Danio rerio: one gene and its partners. The protein of the gene in region 1 binds, or shares a complex with, the protein of each later gene. Links are inferred from orthologs where the notes say so. Each region holds a gene or a part of one and is shown in the gene's direction. Other genes may lie near its edges. The genes, in order: exosc3, exosc5, exosc6 and exosc4.

Region 1 (5,656 bases):
AGTCGCTCACTGTAGAATAAACATGATTGATTTTATTTATTTAATATTTTCACATTTAAGAGAAAAAAAGTGTCATTATGGATGTGACAAATGTGAAGTTGCCACTTGTATGACTTTGCTAAATCAAATAGATTAGTTTGTACTGTAAAATACTTGTCCAAAAAAAAAAAAAAAAACGGTTTCGGTATTTTGAGGAAAACTTAATTTTCTTCATGGCAAGGTTGACATTTGCACGGAATTGCTCGTATATATATATATATATATATATATATATATATATATATATATATATATATATATATATATATATATATATATATATGTATATATATATATATATATATATATATATATATATATATATATATATATATATATATATATATATATATTTGGCATGGGACGACTCAAGGTATACCATGGTTTGGGAAAGTCAAGGTTTTAAAACCATGAAAATTTTCCGCTATCCCGTTCCTAAGGTATAAATAAGATTTCTTTTTTTTTTTTATTAATTTTTGTTTTGTTTTTAAGGACAGCAGTATCTCCAGCAGAAAATATAATCAAAGATTCTGTTTTAAACTGGAAAAATATTAGTGTTTATAAAAAAACAAAGACTGCAGAAGTGAATGATTCATTAAAATGATTTAGCCTGACATGTTTACTGCTCTAAAATATTTTAAATGTTTCCCAAAATAGAATATATATATTAAAAAAGGAAAAAAAAGTTTAGTTTTTTAACCAGAGATTTAAAAAGTAAATATTTCAGAGCAGTGAGCACAATAACATGATACTGTGAAACCGTGATATTTATGTCCAAGGTTATCATACGGTCAGAAACTAATACCAGCCCATGCCTGATACATATCACCATAAACATGACAGGCAGCGAGTCATATCATAGCATCATGTGCAGCTCTACTGTAGCACTGAGGAAAAATTACTTAAATCAAATAATTGTTGTTAGGAAACTGGCAATGTGACAATTAAAAAAAACACAAGTGGCTCAAGGAACATGTCCATGTGTTGAAGGAAATCCTGCATATCCCAAAAGCGTCAACAACTCATTTTCAGCCAAAAGCAAAGTTCCAGCCTTTTCACAGCACATCACCTGCATTAAAACACCGTAACGCGACACTGTAATCCGTTACTTTCGAGAGAAACTCTCCCCAACACTGTTAATAACAGATACACACACACCATAAACACGCTGAAGACGAGCAGAACACACACTTTAACCCCAGATACTGATGATGGAGGAGTGTCTGCACTGACTCCTGCATTGCTGAAGGTGTTCATTACAGTACACCTGAATCTGAAGCACTGACTCCATCATAAACACACTGTCCAGCTGATCTCACAGCCACATCACACCCTCTACACACTGACAGGGTTATTTCTGAGACTCGGTGTGTGTCCTCAAGCTCTTATTCTCGGCGGAAACTGCGATATAAACACAGTGAGGCGACTGCTGCTGTGCTGCTTTCATTGTCCACCCTCCGACGGGCCAGACGAGGCTAAAACCCACTCAAATCTGCCTTATTGGAGACGAAGCCCAGAGGAGTTTCGGGATAAACTAAGGCGAATGATAACCGGGGGTCTGTGTTTATCTGAGAGGGAAAAATAAAGCGAAAACTGCACCTGTTTGCAGCCAGGCCGATGCCTTCTGCCTCTGTGTGCTCCGCCATAACGGAAATGCCACAAAAGTCCCCATTTCCCGCTCAGCGGTTTTCAAACTTCTGAAACATCGTGACTTTTATTTCCAGTATGAATTATTTAACTTAACTGGTAAAAAATATGCATTTTTCGGTATAGTCCAGTAACTTGGCCAACAGTTTTGGTTACCAGAACGTTCCTATTTAGTTAAAGTTATTTTAGTTATAGTTTTAGTTTAATTAGTCCCAAAAATAACCTAAATTAAAGGGGAAGATTTGTGTTAGCTGGAATGTTAGCACGTTCTCCCTCTCTTTATCCAGTTTTTGATTTATTGATTGTTTTTACGATTTAATTATATTTCGTTTTTAAAAACAATCAAAGACTAAATATTAATAAATGGGGTAGATCTCCTTAAAATAAATCCTGCCATCACTTACTCAACCGTTAACGTTACATGTCCCAAACCGGTTTAATTCCATGTCTCAGTTGAACACAAGTTATTTAAGCGTTGGAAACCAGTAACGTTAACTGTTGACTTCAATAGAATTTATTTTCTTATAATGGATGTCGATGGTTACCGGTGTCGAATGATATTAAGAATGCTTTTAGAAAAATCTTTATAATATATTTCTGTTGTGGACATAAAGGGTTGGAGAGGTTTTAATGAGTTAATTTGTATAGGATAAGAGTCCCCGTGCCGGAAGTGCTCAGACACGTGTGTTTGTGTGTGTTTTCCGCTCCTCCATCATGGACTCCTCAGTGCACACTAGTCTGCTGGAGAGGATAGGAGATGTGGTTCTTCCAGGCGATCTGCTGTTCTCCTTCAGTCCTCCTGAAGCCGGAGACGCGAACCCGAAAGCGGACAGGCTGATCTGCGGCCCGGGGCTGCGGCGGAGCGGAGCGGAGATCCGTGTGTGTAGAGCAGGAGTCCTGAAACACAAACAACCCAACATGTACTGGGTCAACTGTCAGCAGAGACGGGTCAGAACACACACACACACAACATGTGCCAGCACACACTATTGTTCAGAAAATTCACTAACACACACTACAGGGCAGAAAACACACAATAACACACGCTACTAGCCATAACACACAACCTAACACACACTACTAGCCAGAACACACAATACCACACACTACTGGGCAGAAAACACACAATAACACACACTACTAGGCAGAACACACAACCTAACACACACTACTAGCCATAACACACAACCTAACACACACTACTGGACAGAACACACAATAACACACACTACTGGGCAGAAAACACACAATAACACACACTACTAGGCAGAACACACAACCTAACACACACTACTAGCCATAACACACAACCTAACACACACTACTGGACAGAACACACAATAACACACACTACTGGGCAGAAAACACTCAATAACACACAATACTGGGCAGAAAACACTCAATAACACACACTACTGGGCAGAACACACAGTAACACACACTACTGGGCAGAACACACAGTAACACACACTACTGGGCAGAAAACACACAATAACACACGCTACTAGGCAGAACACACAACCTAACACACACTACTGGGCAGAACACACAATAACACACACTACTGGGCAGAAAACACTCAATAACACACACTACTGGGCAGAAAACACACATTACTGGGCAGAAAACACTCAATAACACACACTACTGGGCAGAAAACACACATTACTGGGCAGAAAACACACAATAACACACAATACTGGGCAGAACACACACATTACTGGGCAGAAAACACACGTTAACACAATACTGGGCAGAAAACACACTCTAACACACACTACTGGGCAGAAAACAAACAATAACACACACTACTGGGCAGAAAACACAACCTAGAACACACTACTAGGCAAAACACGCAATCACACACACTACTGGAAAAAAAAAAACACACCACTAGGCAGAAAACCCAACCTAACACACACACTACTAGGCAGAAAACACACAATAACACACACTACTGCCAAATTGGTTGACATCGCCCAACCCTACTAAATAAATATATATATATATGAGTGAGAGAGAGAGAGAGAGAGAGAGAGAGAGAGATAGAGAGCTGTATACTACGTTTGGTCTATATAAATCATTTATTTTAGTCATCTTAAAGGGTCAGTTCACTCAAGAATGAATATTTACTCCCTTTCTCAGCGTATTTTTAAACCTTTACATGTTTCTTTTTTTGTCAAACACAAGAGAAGATACTTTGAAGAATGCAGAAAACCGGTAACCATTGACTTCCATAGTAGGAAAAACAAATGGAAGACAATGGCTCCAGGTTTCCAGCATTTTTCTAAATATCTTATTAGTGTTCTGAACGGGTCTGGAACAAGTAAAGGGTGAATAAATGACAGAGTGTTCATGTTTGGGTGAACTGGCCCTTTTTAACACTGCACAGGTCAGGATGTGTCGTGGTGCTCCTCTATCTGTGCTGAAGGTGTTCCGGACTGACCTCTGCTCTTTCCTGCAGTATGTTCCAGCTAAGGGTGAGAGTGTGATCGGCATCGTGACCGCAAAGTCTGGAGACGTCTTCAAAGTGGACGTTGGAGGAAGTGAGCAGGCGTCTCTGTCCTACCTGGCCTTTGAAGGAGCCACCAAGAGGAACAGACCCAACGTGCAGGTACATGATGACAGAGCCACTCCAGCAGCAACAACTCATGATCAACAGTGAAATGACAGATCGACCCACAGGGAAGCAGCAGCAGTCAGTAATGCAGGATGATCTGCTGTCAGGGCTTCACCGTCAATAACTGTGATTATAATGGAAGTGAATGGAGCAACAACAGACAACATAACCAAGCAGAGTCAGTGTGAACACACACACACACACACACACACACACACACACACACACAGTGTGAACAGTGTGTTGATGAGTTATGAAAACTCTCACAGCATTTCCCCATAATGTGTGTCAGACTCAGATTATTCAGCAGAAATCATCACATTTACTGAAACACAGAGAAAGAGGACAAATGAAGACTCGACATCAACCCAGAGTGGAGGAAAACAACCCAGCAAAGTCGTGTTCGGTGTGTATGAGTCCTCCTAACGCTGCTGTTTGCTCCTCCAGGTTGGAGATCTGGTGTTCGGGCAGTTCACCATCGCCAACAAGGACATGGAGCCGGAGCTGGTGTGTATCGACAGCTGCGGGAGAGCCAACGGGATGGGTGTGTTCGGAGGCGACGGGCTGCTCTTTAAAGTGTCGCTGGGACTCGTGCGCAGGTCTGACCTACAGCTACACACACACACACACACACACACACACACACACACACACACACACACACTCAACAGCACAGGCAGCAGGGAAAATAAGAGTTATAGAAACACACTTGTGAAGCGGACGAGTGTTTAAACACAGTGTCTGGTGTATTAGGACAGGTCAAGCCAGCACACACTACTGATCAGAAAACACACACTAACACACACTACTGATCAGAAAACACACACTACTGATCAGAAAACACACACTACTGATCAGAAAACACACACTAACACACACTACTGATCAGAAAACACACACTAACACACACTACTGATCAGAAAACACACACTAACACACACTACTGATCAGAAAACACACTATAACACACACTACTGATCAGAAAACACACACTAACACACACTACTGATCAGAAAACACACACTACTGATCAGAAAACACACACTACTGATCAGAAAACACACACTAACACACACTACTGATCAGAAAACACACACTAACACACACTACTGATCAGAAAACACACACTAACACACACTACTGATCAGAAAACACACACTAACACACACTACTGATCAGAAAACACACACTAGTGATCAGAAAACGCACACTAACACACACTACTGATCAGAAAACACACACTACTGATCAGAAAACACACACTAACACACACTACTGATCAGAAAACACACACTAACACACACTACTAATCAGAAAACACACACTACTGATCAGAAAATGCACACTAAC
Region 2 (5,601 bases), on another chromosome or scaffold:
ATTGATAATGCCAAGTTGTACTTTACTATATGTTCAATAAAAAATAAATGAAAAGTAAAATTAACAAAAAAGTTGCCATTAAACAGGGATAATAAGAAGAAACTTGACTGTACAAAAAAAAAAAAAAAACAATACAGAAGCTTAGCTACTTGTCCTGATGGGTAGCTTTGTAGGTTATCAAGGTTTCTACAGGTTTCTCAAAGTCAAATTTAAGACTTTTTAAGACCTTTTTAAGACCCTTATGAATGAAATTTCAGACTTGTACAGGACTAAACCGTAAAGATTTGTGCTTGCCTCATTAAAAAAAAATCTAATTACTTAATACTTAAATGTGTCAAAACAAGCAAACCATACATACTTTTCTTTGACAAGCTTTAAAAACTTTATTAACCTAAATGTACAATAGTCTTTTTAAGGTCAGTGTCCCCGCCACATATGGTCTACAAATCCCCGGAGAACATAAAAAAGTTATTATGAGGAACCATATTGTTAAATAGAGTTTTGTTAAAAGTTTTATTGGGGTGTGTTATTGGTGAGTGTATACTGTATACAGGTGTTGGCCTGATTTGGGAAGCTTTACATGGATATTAGAAAATTACAACCTATTTGTAATGATTTAAGACCTACAATTCAATATTTCAGCAAATTTAGAACTTTTTAAGGACTAAAATTTTATTTTGAAAATGTAAAACATTTTAAGACTCTGTGGATACCCTGTCAAAGTAACTTCCCCAAAAACTGGCAGGGAATAAAGTGAATTACCCTAAGCTAGGGATGTACACTGCATAAAAAGTTAATTCTCTTTAAATTTGTGTGTATGTGGTTTGCATATTGATAAAGTCACATATTCGCATGAGAAGAATTTACTATCACCTGTAATTTAAATGTGCACAAGACATTAGCTCATAATTAAGATCCACTTTAAATATGAAACAATTTAATAATGCAAATAAGTTGTAAAATGTAAAGATTTTTTAATGACCCATAACAGTCAGGATTAGTGTTGTTTTTTTCATCCACACGCCCCCTTCAACTAGCCAATCAGCTCTGAGTATAAATCCACAGACATGTGAAGGTTGAAGGATCCATTAACTGTTACCTACAACAATCTTCAGACATCTGACCACTAGTTATTGCATTTAAAACAATCATGACCATGTGACATTGAGCACTATTTCTTTTGTAGGTCAGATGAGGAACACCTAACTTATACATTAGCATTTACATTATTAAGACAGTTCAGTAGCTTTTATGTTTGAAACTAGCATAAAACGTCTTTATACAGATGTTGTTAATATTAGTCTCATACAATTCTAGGAAATGTTTTCGGTCTCCCACGGCTACACACACTTCATACAACCTGAATGGCAAGTTTTGCTAATGTTAAAAGTCCGTTGGTGGCGTATATGCAGCTGCCATAAACGTAAGACTTACATTGACGCGGAATCCCCTTTGTTGGAGAAGCGTTGTTGCTTTTAATGCTGTGTTTTGACGAATTGCATGAAGCCCAATGCCATATAATTTCTTCACAGCTCTAGCAGCCGCCATCTTTACGTCAAGTGCGTGTCTCTAGCGTCTTTTCCCTCCTCGTCTCTGGAAATCCAACACACTGCGCCCCCTACAGGAAAAATGTTACTCCTCATTTTTACGGTTTTGTCTGAGAAATGTATCCTTTTATGTACATTTTAAATTTGATTGGGGTCACGGTAGTGTGTATAACTAAAAGGAACAAGCAGAAACGTGCTTATAAAGTCGCTATACATGTGTCATTACATCCTTAATTCCGTTAGAGGGCGTAAGTGCACTGCTAACATGTGTCATGTCGTCATTATTGTGCGCTCAAAACAATGACCCATTTATGGATGCGACGAGCAGATTGTGCATGAGGACCGAGATGGAGCTGGAGCGAAGTTGTCCAGTTTTAAGAGAATATGGAAGTGAACAGAGTTTGTTATCAAGACCTGACGGGTCGTCCACGTTTGTACAAGGTAATTTATAAATGTTTAATGTAATTTATTTCTTTACTCATGTCATAGCAGTTATTTATCTGTCAGGCCAAAGAATATCCAGAGATCTATTCCATTCATTTAAATATGTATCGTTTTGAATTTGTAAATGTGTTTTTAGGGGACACGAGTATCCTGGCTGGAGTTTATGGACCAGCTGAGGTTAAAGTCAGCAAGGAAATATATGATCGGGCAACTGTAGAGGTCCTTATACAGCCCAAAATGGGGCTTCCAAGTATGTTTTTAAACAGTTTTATTTGCAGCCATATTTTGACAGTAATTGCATTATTTATTAATATTTTTTAATAAAAACGTGTACATGCAAATATATATATTTAATCGCGTCATTGGAATGGAGTTTAGTTTTAATTAATTTAATGTTATATGTCATGTTATGACAATATTACAAATTTATAAAAAATTACCTTTATCTTCAACAAATCAACATATTTGAAAGATTTTTTCAACACATTTCTAAACATATTAGTTGTAATAACTCATTTCTAAAAATGGATTTATCTTATCTTTGCCATGATGACAGTAAATAATATTTGACTAGATATTTTTCAAGACACTTTTATCCAGCTTAAAGTGACATTTAAAGGCTTAACTAGGTTAATTTGGTTAACTAGGCAGGTTAGGATAATTAGGCAAGTTATTGTATAACGATAGTTTTTTCTGAAGATTATCAAAAACAAAAAAAAACAAAAAAAAAAAAAAAAAAACAAAGAGACTAATAATTTTGATCTTAAAATTGTTTTAAATAATTTAAAAACTGCTTTTATTCTTGCCGAAATAAAACAAATAAGACTTTCTCCAGAAGAAAAAATATTATCAGACATACTGTGAAATCTGTTAAACTTCATTTGGGAAATATTTTTAAAAACAATCAAATGGGGGTTAATAGTTCTGACTTCAACTGTACATTTACACTACTGGTCAAAATTTTGGGGTCAGTAGGATTTTTAAATGTTTTAAAATAAGCTTGTTCTGCTCACCAAAGCTGCATTTATTTAAACAAAAATACAGGACATATAGGACAATTGTGATATGTTATTGCACTATAAAATAATAAATTATATTTTATATAAAATCATTTATTCCAGTGATTTTACACATAAATTGTCAGCTTCCTTTAGTCTTCAGAGTCATGTGATCTTTCAGTAATCGCTCTGATATAAATTGTTATTATTATTGCTGTTATTATGGGGGTAATGGTAATAGTAATAAAAGTAGTAAAGTCTGGAATAATAACTTCATTTGAAACTACACACAATAAGAAAGCAGTTATTAATTAATTTTTTTTATTTTTTTTTACTTAATAAATGCTGCCTTGATGAACAGAATCATTTTCTTTAAAAAAATCGATATGAAAAAGTGTGTGAGATCTACATGTCTACATGTATATTCATCTATTTATTTTTTGCTTTGTATTATTATCATTGCACTGATGTTGGATTAACTTAAATCTGTCTGCATTTAGCATATCAGCTATAATGTGAAAGACTGATACAGATAATTAATAATTAAATAATAGAAACGCATTGCACATCTTTTGAACAATCTAAAGTTTTTACAAAATAACAAAATACAATATATATACAAATATCAGGCATGAATCTTTTATGTGCATTATGCCAGTTGTGCACTGGAAAAGCAGCTGGTGTGCACCATTAGTTTGGGTTAGTTTGGGATAAAACATCTTTCTTGTTCAAAAAAAAAAAAAAAGATTTAGTTTTTTTTTTTTTAAAGCAGAAATATGTATAATTTACAGATAGCAAACTGCACTGGCTTTTTTCGGTTATTTCAGGAAAGTTCTATTATAGCAAAATTGTTTAGTGTTATTAAAAGAAAATCCCCTAATCACCTTTGAACATTGTCATATTGCTTTTTTTTGTCTTAAAACGTGCCTCTCTTAAAATGTTAGACATTTGAATTTTGAATGGATCCAATCTATATTCAGTTCAATGAATTTAACTGAGTAAAAAGTAGCTTGTACTGTATGCAGATGACTAATATTTTGATATATTGGCATGCATTTCTAAAACATTTCATTGTTTCTTAAGTATGTGAAGTTGTTGGACACATTTCCTTCTGCTTTTTTGAATTGATTTATTCAAAACTGTTGGACTTATTTACAGTATTTAAGGCAAGTATGTTAGAAGTAACTGCAATTAAATTACCCATCCATGAAAAGTAACCTACTACTTTACATTTTCAGTACAAAAGTAATTACAGTAACACGTTACTTTGTAATTAATTACACCTAATATGTCCCAGACCAAACACTAGCCACTTTGTTACTAGTTACTAATTACACCCAATATAACACAGACTAATGCAACATAAATATGAATTGTTTGTCACTTTTTTATTTAATATAATATAAGAAACAATTACCTACATGAGTATAAACTGTTTAAAGGGAGTCTTAAAACTACATGTCAGGAAGAAAATGTTATGCCATAAAAAATGTGTGTCGTTTATGTAAATTGTTTTTATTTAGTCAGTGTTTTATTATTACTAATTATTATTATTATTAATGTTTAATAATACACATATACAGCTCATACTAGAATAGTAAACATAGTTATAATTGCATGGCCTGCACAGCCATGTTTCAGCATTAGGTGTCAGTCTGGTACAGTATTTTTTTAAACTTCCTCATACTGTGGTGCGATGTGTTGTGTTAGGTGTCCGCGAGCGAGCGAGAGAGCAGTGTGTCCGTGAGACTTGTGAAGCTGCCCTTCTGTTGACCCTTCATCCACGCTCTTCTCTCACGGTCATCCTGCAGGTCGTCCACGATGATGGATCTGTATCCTCAACACCAGCAAAACTCTTCTTTATAAATGCAAAATGAAGAGGGGGCAAATATGATGTGTCCGTGGTTTTATTGTTTGAACTTTTTAGTCACTTACCGTTGAAGGGAGGAGTTTGTTTTGAATATTTAGGGTTGAGTATTAAAGATTAGTATGTTTTATTACAATGAATGTATTAAAACGAAAAAAGTGGCAATATAGACTAAACGTACAAAAAAATTGAAGATTTGAATAATTGGCTTCTTTTAATACTCTTCAATTTTATTATGTTTTAACGCTTGTTAGGAATGTTTTCATCCACTCTGGGGTTATTTTGAGTCTTAATTTGGCCACAACTTGTTTCAGCAAGCGGAATGATTTTGGTGACATTTTATTTTGACAAATTTTTGCAATTTAAAAAAAAAAAAAAAAAAAAACCTCAACAATAGACTCAGCAGGGCAAGTTTACTACACTGGTCCTTTTCGTTATGTTAGTGGCTGTTTTTGCCCTATTGATTTCCATTATAATGACATTTTTTTGATTGCAAAGTCATGAAACCATATTGTTATGCATTCTTGATTGGTGGTGGTTTTTCTCTTTTGAGAAGAGGTACAATTAGTAATTTTTACTGTTGGCCATTAGTTGCAGTGTAAAAAAAGCATTAGTTTCTGGCTTTTATATAGAGTATTGTGTGAGTGTAACCAAGTGTAAGAGCACCTTTGCGTACTTACCTTGATATGTCTGAGAAAATTAAAATAAGCATCTCAGCTCTCAAAACATAGCAAACATGGTGTGT
Region 3 (4,421 bases), on another chromosome or scaffold:
AGAGTACGGATAAATAGAACTTTTATCACTTAATTCATACAATATGCATACAGTTTGCATTATAAACTAATATTAATTTAGGAATATGAAGTCTTAAAAAATAGATGGAAGGGTCAATAATTTGGCCTTCTCAACTCTTAGACCCTTTAGCCTATACTGAACTTTTAAGTACTTGCTGTAATGTTAAACCATGCTTGATTCATTCATTCATTTTCTTGTCAGCTTAGTCGCTTTATTAGTCTGGAGTCGCCACAGTGGAGTGAACCGCCAACTTATCCAGCAGGTTTTTACGCAGCGGATGCCCTTCCAGCCGCAACCCATCTCTGGGAAAACCATGCTTTATGATGCTGTGCAATATTTATACAATCTATTTTATTAAATGTATTGGTATTGGTGGCGGATGTGGTGTTGTCGCGAACTGAAGAGCGTAGTGGTGGACATTGGGGGACATTGTTTCACAGTAATGGGTTGCAGCTAGAAGGACATCCGCTGCATAAAACATACACTGAATAAGTTGGCAGTTCATTCCACTGTGGCGACCCCGGAATAATGAAGTGACTTGGCCTTTTTGCGCTGTGGCAACCCTGAATTGATATAGGGACTAAGCCAAAAAGAAAACACACATATGGGGGTGCTTGGGGTGTTTTTTGTTGCCAGTTTGATTGGGCCCCCAAATAGTAACTCTGGGGGTCCAAAAAGAGTGCATCTTCCCTGCATAGTTCTTAATCGTTCTAACCTTTTCCCCCTGGCGACGCCCCTGCATATAGCCAAGTTTCATGAGTTTCACTCATTGTGATTAAGTATTTTTATAAGATCCAGCTAGAGAGGCCCATGGACTGTACAATTGTAATTAGCCTAAACCTACAGTGCTCAGCTTATATAAGTACACCCCTCACAAATCTCTCTTTTAAATTCATATTTGTAATAGGAAGCTGTACAATATTATATTTGTGCATATACAATAGATTAGTCAGTTCTGAAGCCTATCCAACAAAATAACAAATTTTTTATGATACAGAAAAATATTAAATACAAATTTTAAAAAGAGGAAAAATCAAGAGAAGCAAAAAATAAATAAATTTTGTTGAAATTGTGTAGGTTGTAATTTAATTTTTTAATGTTTCACTTGAATTTAATTGTATAATATTTTAACTTCTAAATATGTTTTGTGACTAATATATTATTTTAATACATATTTCTGTTTATTAAATCTGTTTTGTTTAAAAGCACCAGGATTCATTGCCTATATTCACTGAGAAATGGATAAAATTACAAATTTTCAAATTGGGCTGTACTCAATTATGCTGAGCACTGTATATACTCAACTGCCACTCAAAAATTAAACGAGCTATTTACATACAGTAGAAAACTCAATGCATTTAGTCATGCCGACTTTGAGGGAAAGGGATGTGATGCATTGTTGATGGCAGAAGTCAGAGGACATTTACCTGTTTTGAGCTGAAAGGCAACAGTCAAATAACTCTCTTCAGGCAAGATATGCAGACCATCTCTGAATGAATACACAACATGTCAAACCTTGAAGCAGATGAGCTACAGCAGCAGAAGAGAACATGATGCTACTCCTGTCAGCAAAACAGCAAACTTAACCTAACACTAACATGGTTTACCGAAATTGGACAAAGGAAGCTTGAAAAACTGATTAGGTGAGTCTTGATTTCTGCTACAACTTTTGTGGAGTCAGATTTTTGATCTAAACAACATTAATGCATGGATCCATCCTGTCTCGCATCTTCAGTTTAGCCAGCTAGTAGTGTAATGGTGTGTGTGTGTGTGTGTGTGTGTGTGTGTGTGTGTGTGTGTGTGTTTGTTAATTTGTGCTGCTATGTTGCTTCTATATGCTGTATCGTGTAACTGCTATCATTTTGATTCTGTATTGGGCAAATGTCTTCTGTCCAACTTAATTATCTGTCTTGACTGTCTGACAATGGGAAATGACTGTTCGTTGTGTTGCTGCTATTGTAAAATGTCCACATTATTTCAACAGTTGGTATTTACATTATTAATGGTGTGAAGGATGTTTCTCTGCATACTTCAGGCCTATCAAAAGTAATAATACAAACAGCACCGTGTATTGAGCTATGGTTGCAGACTGCAAGTCACATCAGTGTTCGACTATCTACACTGCAGCAAAATAGTAATATCCAACGTGTTGAAAAATGGCTAAACTAGGTCTACATTACGTCTGTCAAATGAACTATTTCATTCCTGACTTTAAAACATGCACATCACATCTAACAAAGCATAATGTCTTTGCCACAGCACATTTGCCACGTTATCCCTATCCGGCAGAGGGCAGCAGCGCGCAAACAGCATTTGATTGCAGCATCCCGAAGCATTTGATTCCTCGAGGAAGACTGAGTAGTTTCACCGCTGCAAAGTAAGCTATGCTCTCGTAAACACGTGGGTTTATTAAAAATGCCGGTTGACACAAAACGTATTCGTGGACCGGAAGAGTCGCAGTCCCCGTTGCTCTTTCTGTCCCCGGACAAAGCCCCTAAAGCCCCCAGCAGCAGGCAGGGCGTCCGCGGGAACGGAGATGTGCGGCCGGTGTTTGCGCGCTGCGGGCTAGTCAGCCAGGCGAAAGGCTCCGCGTACATCGAGGCTGGAAACACCAAGATCATCTGCTCGGTGTACGGGCCGAAGGAAACGGAACGAAGGGACGAAACGGACATGAAAACCGGTCGGCTGGTTTGCGACTTCAGGCTCGCGCCGTTTTCCTGCGTGAAACGGGGAGCCTGGATCCAGGGCAGCGAGGAGAGAGACCTGTCCGCCACTCTGATGGAGAGCTTGCGGCCGGGAGTTTGCCTACACAGATACCCGCGCTCTCAGATTGACGTGAATGTCATGGTTTTGGAGAATGACGGCTCGGTTCTGGCGCACGCGGTGACCTGCGCTTCGATGGCCCTGGCGGACGCCGGTATCGAGATGTACGACATTGTTTTGGGTTGCACGCTGCGGCAGAGCGGAAACGCGTGTCTCGTTGACCCGTCATACGCCGAGGAGTGCGGGAGCTGGCAGGAGGGCTACGGAGACAACCAGGGGTGCGTCACCTTGGCTCTGCTTCCCAATCTGAATCAGGTGTCTGGCCTGAATGCGGACGGGGAGATGCGGGAGGACACTCTGACCGAGGCTATGAGAACCTGCATGGACGGCTGTCATAAACTCTACCCGGTGGTTCAACAAGCGCTGACGCGGGCTGTCAAGAAGAAAGCGCCTCCGCCTGAGAAATAGACTTTTGTTTGGCGCTTCTTTTTGAGAACAGTTAAAATGATTACAATTGTTGAAATTTTGTACATTTAAATGTGTAATAATGTCGAACCAACTAAATAAACTCCTCTGCAGTTTTATCTCCTCTATGATCTTGTATTTGTTCATTTCAGTGGTGTTGCTGATTTTGTATTCAGATTATTTCCCCCTAAACGAAAATCTCCTGTCGCACCCTCAATGCCATCCATGGTGTAGATCAGGGGTGCCCAAACTTTTTCTTATGAGGGGCCAAAAAAGTTGATTATAGGTGGTGAGCTGAAGTTAAATAAACCAAAGTATTACATTACAGTTGCCATGGTAATTACCTTATTTATTAATATTTAAAATAAATTGAAAGAATACTGAAATCATTAATAATTATATCTTTTTTGCATTTTATAATGAACATCTTACAATAAAAAAACAATCCTCTTTATAACAATAATGTTCACTGCTGAATATATTCAGGACACTTGATTTGCTCATCAAGGACTCTTACTTTTTTTTTTTTTAAATGTGATTCATGCACAACATTTAAGTGAAACTTTTAATTTCAGTTGCTTTTTTTGCAACCCAACAATTAAATGAACAAACAAAAGGTTACATTAAAATTAGAAATGACAAGCGCGCGGCATGGCACCAACCTTTTCATCATTCTCCCTCACTTCTCAGATAGGATGGCAGGCCGTAGTTTGGGCATCTCTGGTCTAGATGGCTTTTTCCTTTAGTAGAATATTTAAGATATTTAGATGAAGCCATTGCCCATGGTCAGTCGTAAAATGCAAGTCAGTAGCTTGCAGCACTTTCATAGTCTGAAAAACACAGGCAAAACAAGTTAATACCCGTGGTTCTTTGGGTTTCTATGAAATGAATCAACTGTTCTGTGCTAGAAAGTAAATGTTATAAGAATATTACCTTAATCTCTGCAAGATGCACAGACTCTGTGTTGGTGGCCGTGACTAGAACTATTATTTGAATCACCATAGGACATCTTTAATTAAGTAGACACCTACTTCTTGGATAACCCAAGTATGAGCAACCAGCACTTTTTTTATTTATGAGGTAACTGCCCCTTTAAACAGGGTTACCACGCTTCCTAAAAGTACTTGAATTTCAGACAAATAAATTCAAAACAGAACAAAACACTGAGAAAT
Region 4 (5,459 bases), on another chromosome or scaffold:
ATCAACTGTCAGTACAGCATGGCCACGTTCAGCACGGCGGAGAGGAAGAGACGTCCACACGGAGACCGGAAGTCCAGCGAGATGAGCCTCCACCTCAAACAGACCTTTGAGGCTGCGGTGCTCACTGAGCTCTACCCACGCTCACAAATCGACATCTACGTCAAGGTACATGGACTTCTTTACGTTCATGCCGTTTATCATCCATCCACTCACCTGCCCAATTTTGCATCCACCAATCTCTGCATCAGTCGTTGATCTATTCTTAAATGCCCCCATGCATCTGTGCTTTCATTCATCCATCACCGTAAATCATATTGTATATTGATACTGAGTGCACTTTGGATGTTTTTAAAAACGTATACCAAATCATCCACACATGCATCCATCTGTGCATCCATCCATGCATAAGTTAATTCACATATTTGTACACATCTTAACATCCAGTGATCCATGCATGAATCGATCCGTCCATCATCATTCAAGCACATCCGTCCAAGCCTTCATCTGTTCATCCACTCATCCATCTGCTCAGTTGGTCATATGTCCAACCATACATCCTCCCTGGATTCTATCTGGAAATTCATCCATCCACCCACACCACTATCAATCCATGCATTTATTCAGCCATCAATCCATGCATCCACCCAGTTATCCATCCCTTCATGCATCCGCCCAACTATCTATCCATTCATCCATCCACCCACCCAACCATAAAATCACCAAGCTATCAATCCTACCCTTCATCTACCCACCCAACAGTCCATCCACCCACCCAACAATCCATTCATGCATCCATCCACCCAACAGTCGATCCAACCATTCATCCACCCAACTGTCCATGCATCCACATAAATATCCATCCATCCATGTATACACCCCACTGTCAATCAACTCATCCACCCACCCAACTATCGATCCAACCATTCATCCACCCAATTAATTATCCATCCATGCATTTACCCACCCAACAGTCCATCCATCTATGCATTCCCCAACTATTCATTCATCCAGCATACACCCACCTACCCATCCATCCACGTACCCAACTATCCATCTATCTATCCATCCACCCAACTATCCATCCACGCACCCAGTTATCCATCCGTCTACCCACCCAACTCCATTCATGCACCCACCCAACTATTCATCCATCCGACTTTCCATCCTCCATCTGACTATCCATCATCCATCCGACTATTCATCCATCCAACCACCAACTTTCCATCCCACCAACCACCTAACTCCATCCATGCACCCATCCAACTATCTTTCCATCCAGCATACACCCACCTTCCTATCCATCCACATACCCAACTATCCATCTATCCATCCATCCACGCACCCAATTATTCATCCATCCACCCACCTAACTCTATTCATGCACCCAACTATCCAACTATCCACCAACCCAAATTCATTTGTGCACCCACCCAACTATCCATCCATGCACCCACCCAACTATCCATCCATCTATCCACCCAACTATCCATTCAACTACCCATCCATCCATCCATCCATCTCTGCATCCATCCACCCAACTATCCATCCATACACCCACCCAACTATCCATTCACCCATCCAACTCCATTCATGCACCCACCCAACTATACATCCAACCACCCAACTATACATCCAACCACCCACTCAACTCCATCCATGGACCCACCCAACTATCCATCATACATGCATCCTGCATTCATCCACCTAACTACCCATCCATCCACACACCCAATTATTCATCCATCCACCCACCTAACTCTATTCATGCACCCACCCAACTATCCAACTATCCACCAACCCAAATCCATTTGTGCACCCACCCAACTATCCATACATCCAACTATCCATCCATCCATCTGACTATTCATCCATCCGACTATTCATCCATTTATCCACCCGACTATTCATCCATCCATCCACCCAACTATCCATCCCAACAACCAACTAACTCCATCCATGCACCCACCCAACTATCCATCCATCTATCCACCCAACTACCCATTCGTCTATCCATTCAACTACCCATTCATCCATCCATCTCTGCATCCATCCACCGAACTATCCATCCACACACCTACTCCCTATCCATTCACCCATCCAACTCCATTCATGCACCCACCCAACTATACATCCAACCACCCAACTATACATTCATCCATCCATCCACCCAACTATCAATCCAACCACCCACTCAACTCTACCATGGACCCACCCAACTATCCAACATACATGCATCCATCTATCTTTGCATTCATCCACCCAACTACCCATCCGTCCAACCATCCATCCACGCACCCAACTATCCATCTATCTACCCAACGCTATTCATGCACCCACCCAACTATCAATCCATTCATGCAACTATCCATCCATCCACGCACCCACCCAACTATCTATCCATCTACCCAACGCTATTCCTGCACCCACCCAACTATCCATTCATAAATGCAACTATCCATCCATCCACCCACCGACTCCATCCAAGGATCCACCCAACTATCCATTCGTCCTCCACCCAATTACCCAGCCATCCACCCACAATCCATCAATCCATCCATCCATGCATGCATATTGGCTTTAAATTATTGTGATAATTTTTTCTGTTGAACGTAAGAGCCAGATCAAACTATAACTCATATTATTACAGTTGCAGTACATGACAAGATTCCAAAGACACTTTAAATACTATTACAATTCACATTACATGTAACTGACTACAACAGCACCATGTCTTTGATTTGTCCTGCGCTGTAGATCCTGCAGGCGGACGGTGGAAACTACAGCGCGTGTGTCAATGCTGCTACATTGGCTCTAGTGGACGCTGGGATCCCCATGCGCGATTATGTGTGTGCGTGCAGCGCTGGGTTTGTGGAGGACACCCCGCTGGCAGATCTGTGTCATGCAGAGGAGAGCGGTGGAGGAACAGCGCTGGCTCTGGCTTTGCTGCCTCGTAGTGGAAATATTGCCCTGTTGCAAATGGACGCCCGGCTCCATCAGGACCACCTGGACACACTGATGGAGGCGGCCATGACGGCGTGCAAAGAGTTCAGTAAAGTTCTAGACAGTGTCGTACGGCAGCATCTAGAGGAGGTTTCAGATCTGACCAGAGATTGAGATGGAGATTTAATGGACATCTATGGAGTCAGATCAGTGTCAAAAATAATACATTTACAAAATATAATTTGCTTAAATATGATTCAGAAATACACAAATCCAATTCATTTGGTGAAAATATTATATATGATATTCACTGGTGAATTCATGAACTGTGTGTTGCGTTTATGAATAGTGTTTTGATTTTATGAATTGGATTATGTAATTGTGAATTGTGATGTATGAACTTTTAGTAAATTAATTATTTTTGAGACTGATCTGACTCCATAGGAAATGCTCTATTAATTTGTTATTCATTTAATCTTTGAAGCATGCGCTTGGACTGAAAAAAAAAAACAGATTTGATCGACATGTATGGAGTTAGATCAGTCTCAGAAATAACACATTTACAAAATATAATTCACAAGTTTAAATATAATTAAAAAATACACAAATCCAGTTCATTTGGCGAAAATATTTATGATTTTTACTTGTGAATCTATAAACTGTGTGTTGTATTTATGAATTGTGTTTTGAATTTACGAACTTAATTTTATAAATGTGAATTGCGCTATGCATGTATGAATATCATTTCATAAATGTATTATTTTTGAGACTGATCTGACTCCATAGGAAATGCTTTAGTCATTTATTCTTCATTTTAGTGTCTGAAGCATGCGCTTGGACTGAAAAACACACAGAATTGATAGACACAGAAAAAAATAAGTTTATATATCAGCTTATCCAGAAGAAATGCCACCTAAAAAGCGCTGAACACATTTTGTTATAATAATGTCCTCTGTTGTGAGAGAGTTGTAATAAAACAATGGTATGTTTTTAACAAATGAACACTTTTCCTTTTGTGTTTTATCAAATTAACCATTATTTAATCAGATTTAGTACTCCTAATAAACAGTGGGGATCGAAAGTTTGGGCGCCCCAGGTAAAAATTTGAATTAATGTGCATAAAGAAGCCACGACAAGATGGAAAAATCTCCAAAAGGCTTTAAATTACAGATTAGACATTTTTTTAATGTGTCAAAAAAGTTAAACTTTATTTCCATCATTTACACTTTCAAAATAACAGAAAATAAAAAAAAAAACATTCTGGGAACGTTCTCTGTAGGTTTTTTTTTTTTTTTTGGTAACCAAAATATAACCTTCCCAGAACGTTCTCTGCAGGCTATTTTCAATGGTTAATTTATTACCTACAGAGAACCTTCCCAGAACATTCCCTCTAGGTTTTATTTAGGTTTTTTTCATAACCTTGAGAGAACCTTCCCAGAACGTTCATTGTAGGTTAATTTTGGGATCTATTTTATAACCAAAAGAGAACCTTCTCAGAACGTTTTTTTGTTGATTATAATATCTTGAACTGCCGCCTTTGGCAAGTATCACAGCTTGTAAATGCTTTTTGTACAATTTTAAGTTTACAGTTTACATTTCAGATATAACTTTGTTTCAAATGTTACACTCTAAAAAAACGTTGAGTTATTTATTTAACCCAATAATTAAGTTAAACATATTTGGTGCTTTGTTGGGTTATTTTAACCTTTATTATGTTATTTATTAGTAACTCAACCAGTTGGGTTAAATAGTATGTGCTTTGTTGGGTTATTTTTAACCTTTATTATGTTATTTAATAGTAACTCAACCAGTTGGGTTAAATAGTATGTACTTTGTTGGGTTATTTATATCATAACTCAACCAGTTGGGTTAGAATTTTTAATTTCAACAGTCAACTGATTTAACTGACACAGAACAGCTGTATTAATATGTGCGCTTAATGTTGTTTTTGCATTCTAAAGTTTATTTAAGCTCTTAACGCAATAATATTGTTGTCTTTAGCACCCAGCGGAGACATTTATTTATTTACACTATCATAATTATAAAATTAATAGTAGTAATAGTAATAGAGTAATACCAGAATGAAAAAAAAACATGTATTTAAAATAACCCAATGCATTGAGTTAAAATACCCCATAGTTGGGTTTAATGTTGGGGTATTTTTAACCCAACTATTTTATCAGAGTATGAAAAATGCACAAATACAATCCCAATACAGTAAAAAGAATTAAATTGGAAAACACATGTAGGGGTATATACATCATCACAAATTAAAGGAAAATATTACATAATTTACAAATTTTACAAGTTCTCCCCTGTAAAATGATGACGTGATGCTGGGTTATGGCGTCATTCACAGAAAGTATGTAGGCTATCAATAAGGAAGTTAAAGCGCCGGTAGTTCCCCTTTACTATATGAGAACTACGAGTGGATCCAACGTGTGCTAACAAGTTCGTGTCTGGACATTTTGGCTGATTTCTGGTCGCCGATGTGGAATTTGAAGCACCGTTTTCTTACC

What was found.
Region 2: exosc3 (region 1) and exosc5 share a complex: the UniProt entries of both Homo sapiens proteins name them as parts of the RNA exosome core complex. The link is inferred for Danio rerio from reciprocal best matches to the Homo sapiens genes EXOSC3 and EXOSC5.
Region 3: exosc3 (region 1) and exosc6 share a complex: the UniProt entries of both Homo sapiens proteins name them as parts of the RNA exosome core complex. The link is inferred for Danio rerio from reciprocal best matches to the Homo sapiens genes EXOSC3 and EXOSC6.
Region 4: exosc3 (region 1) and exosc4 share a complex: the UniProt entries of both Homo sapiens proteins name them as parts of the RNA exosome core complex. The link is inferred for Danio rerio from reciprocal best matches to the Homo sapiens genes EXOSC3 and EXOSC4.

The regions. Positions count from the first base shown.
Region 1 is NC_133189.1:58,544,692-58,550,347, reverse strand, and holds the start of exosc3 (exosome complex component RRP40), read left to right. Parts: upstream 1-2,389; 5' UTR 2,390-2,400; coding exon of another isoform or gene 2,401-2,634; 5' UTR 2,635-3,146; intron 3,147-3,341; 5' UTR 3,342-4,027; coding exon 4,028-4,300; intron 4,301-4,753; coding exon 4,754-4,905; intron 4,906-5,656. Other genes in the region: tcerg1a (transcription elongation regulator 1a), read right to left, coding at 1,639-1,685. UniProt on the Homo sapiens protein: Non-catalytic component of the RNA exosome complex which has 3'->5' exoribonuclease activity and participates in a multitude of cellular RNA processing and degradation events.
Region 2 is NC_133193.1:38,982,894-38,988,494, reverse strand, and holds the start of exosc5 (exosome complex component RRP46), read left to right. Parts: upstream 1-1,854; 5' UTR 1,855-1,858; coding exon 1,859-1,988; intron 1,989-2,127; coding exon 2,128-2,241; intron 2,242-4,699; coding exon 4,700-4,821; intron 4,822-5,601. Other genes in the region: bckdha (2-oxoisovalerate dehydrogenase subunit alpha, mitochondrial), read right to left, coding at 1,435-1,548. UniProt on the Homo sapiens protein: Non-catalytic component of the RNA exosome complex which has 3'->5' exoribonuclease activity and participates in a multitude of cellular RNA processing and degradation events.
Region 3 is NC_133182.1:29,203,807-29,208,227, reverse strand, and holds exosc6 (exosome complex component MTR3), read left to right. Parts: upstream 1-2,436; coding exon 2,437-3,252; 3' UTR 3,253-3,377; downstream 3,378-4,421. Other genes in the region: slc38a8b (putative sodium-coupled neutral amino acid transporter 8), read right to left, coding at 1,449-1,510, 2,284-2,693. UniProt on the Homo sapiens protein: Non-catalytic component of the RNA exosome complex which has 3'->5' exoribonuclease activity and participates in a multitude of cellular RNA processing and degradation events.
Region 4 is NC_133177.1:2,087,432-2,092,890, forward strand, and holds the end of exosc4 (exosome complex component RRP41), read left to right. Parts: coding exon 1-165; intron 166-2,754; coding exon 2,755-3,114; 3' UTR 3,115-3,942; downstream 3,943-5,459. UniProt on the Homo sapiens protein: Non-catalytic component of the RNA exosome complex which has 3'->5' exoribonuclease activity and participates in a multitude of cellular RNA processing and degradation events.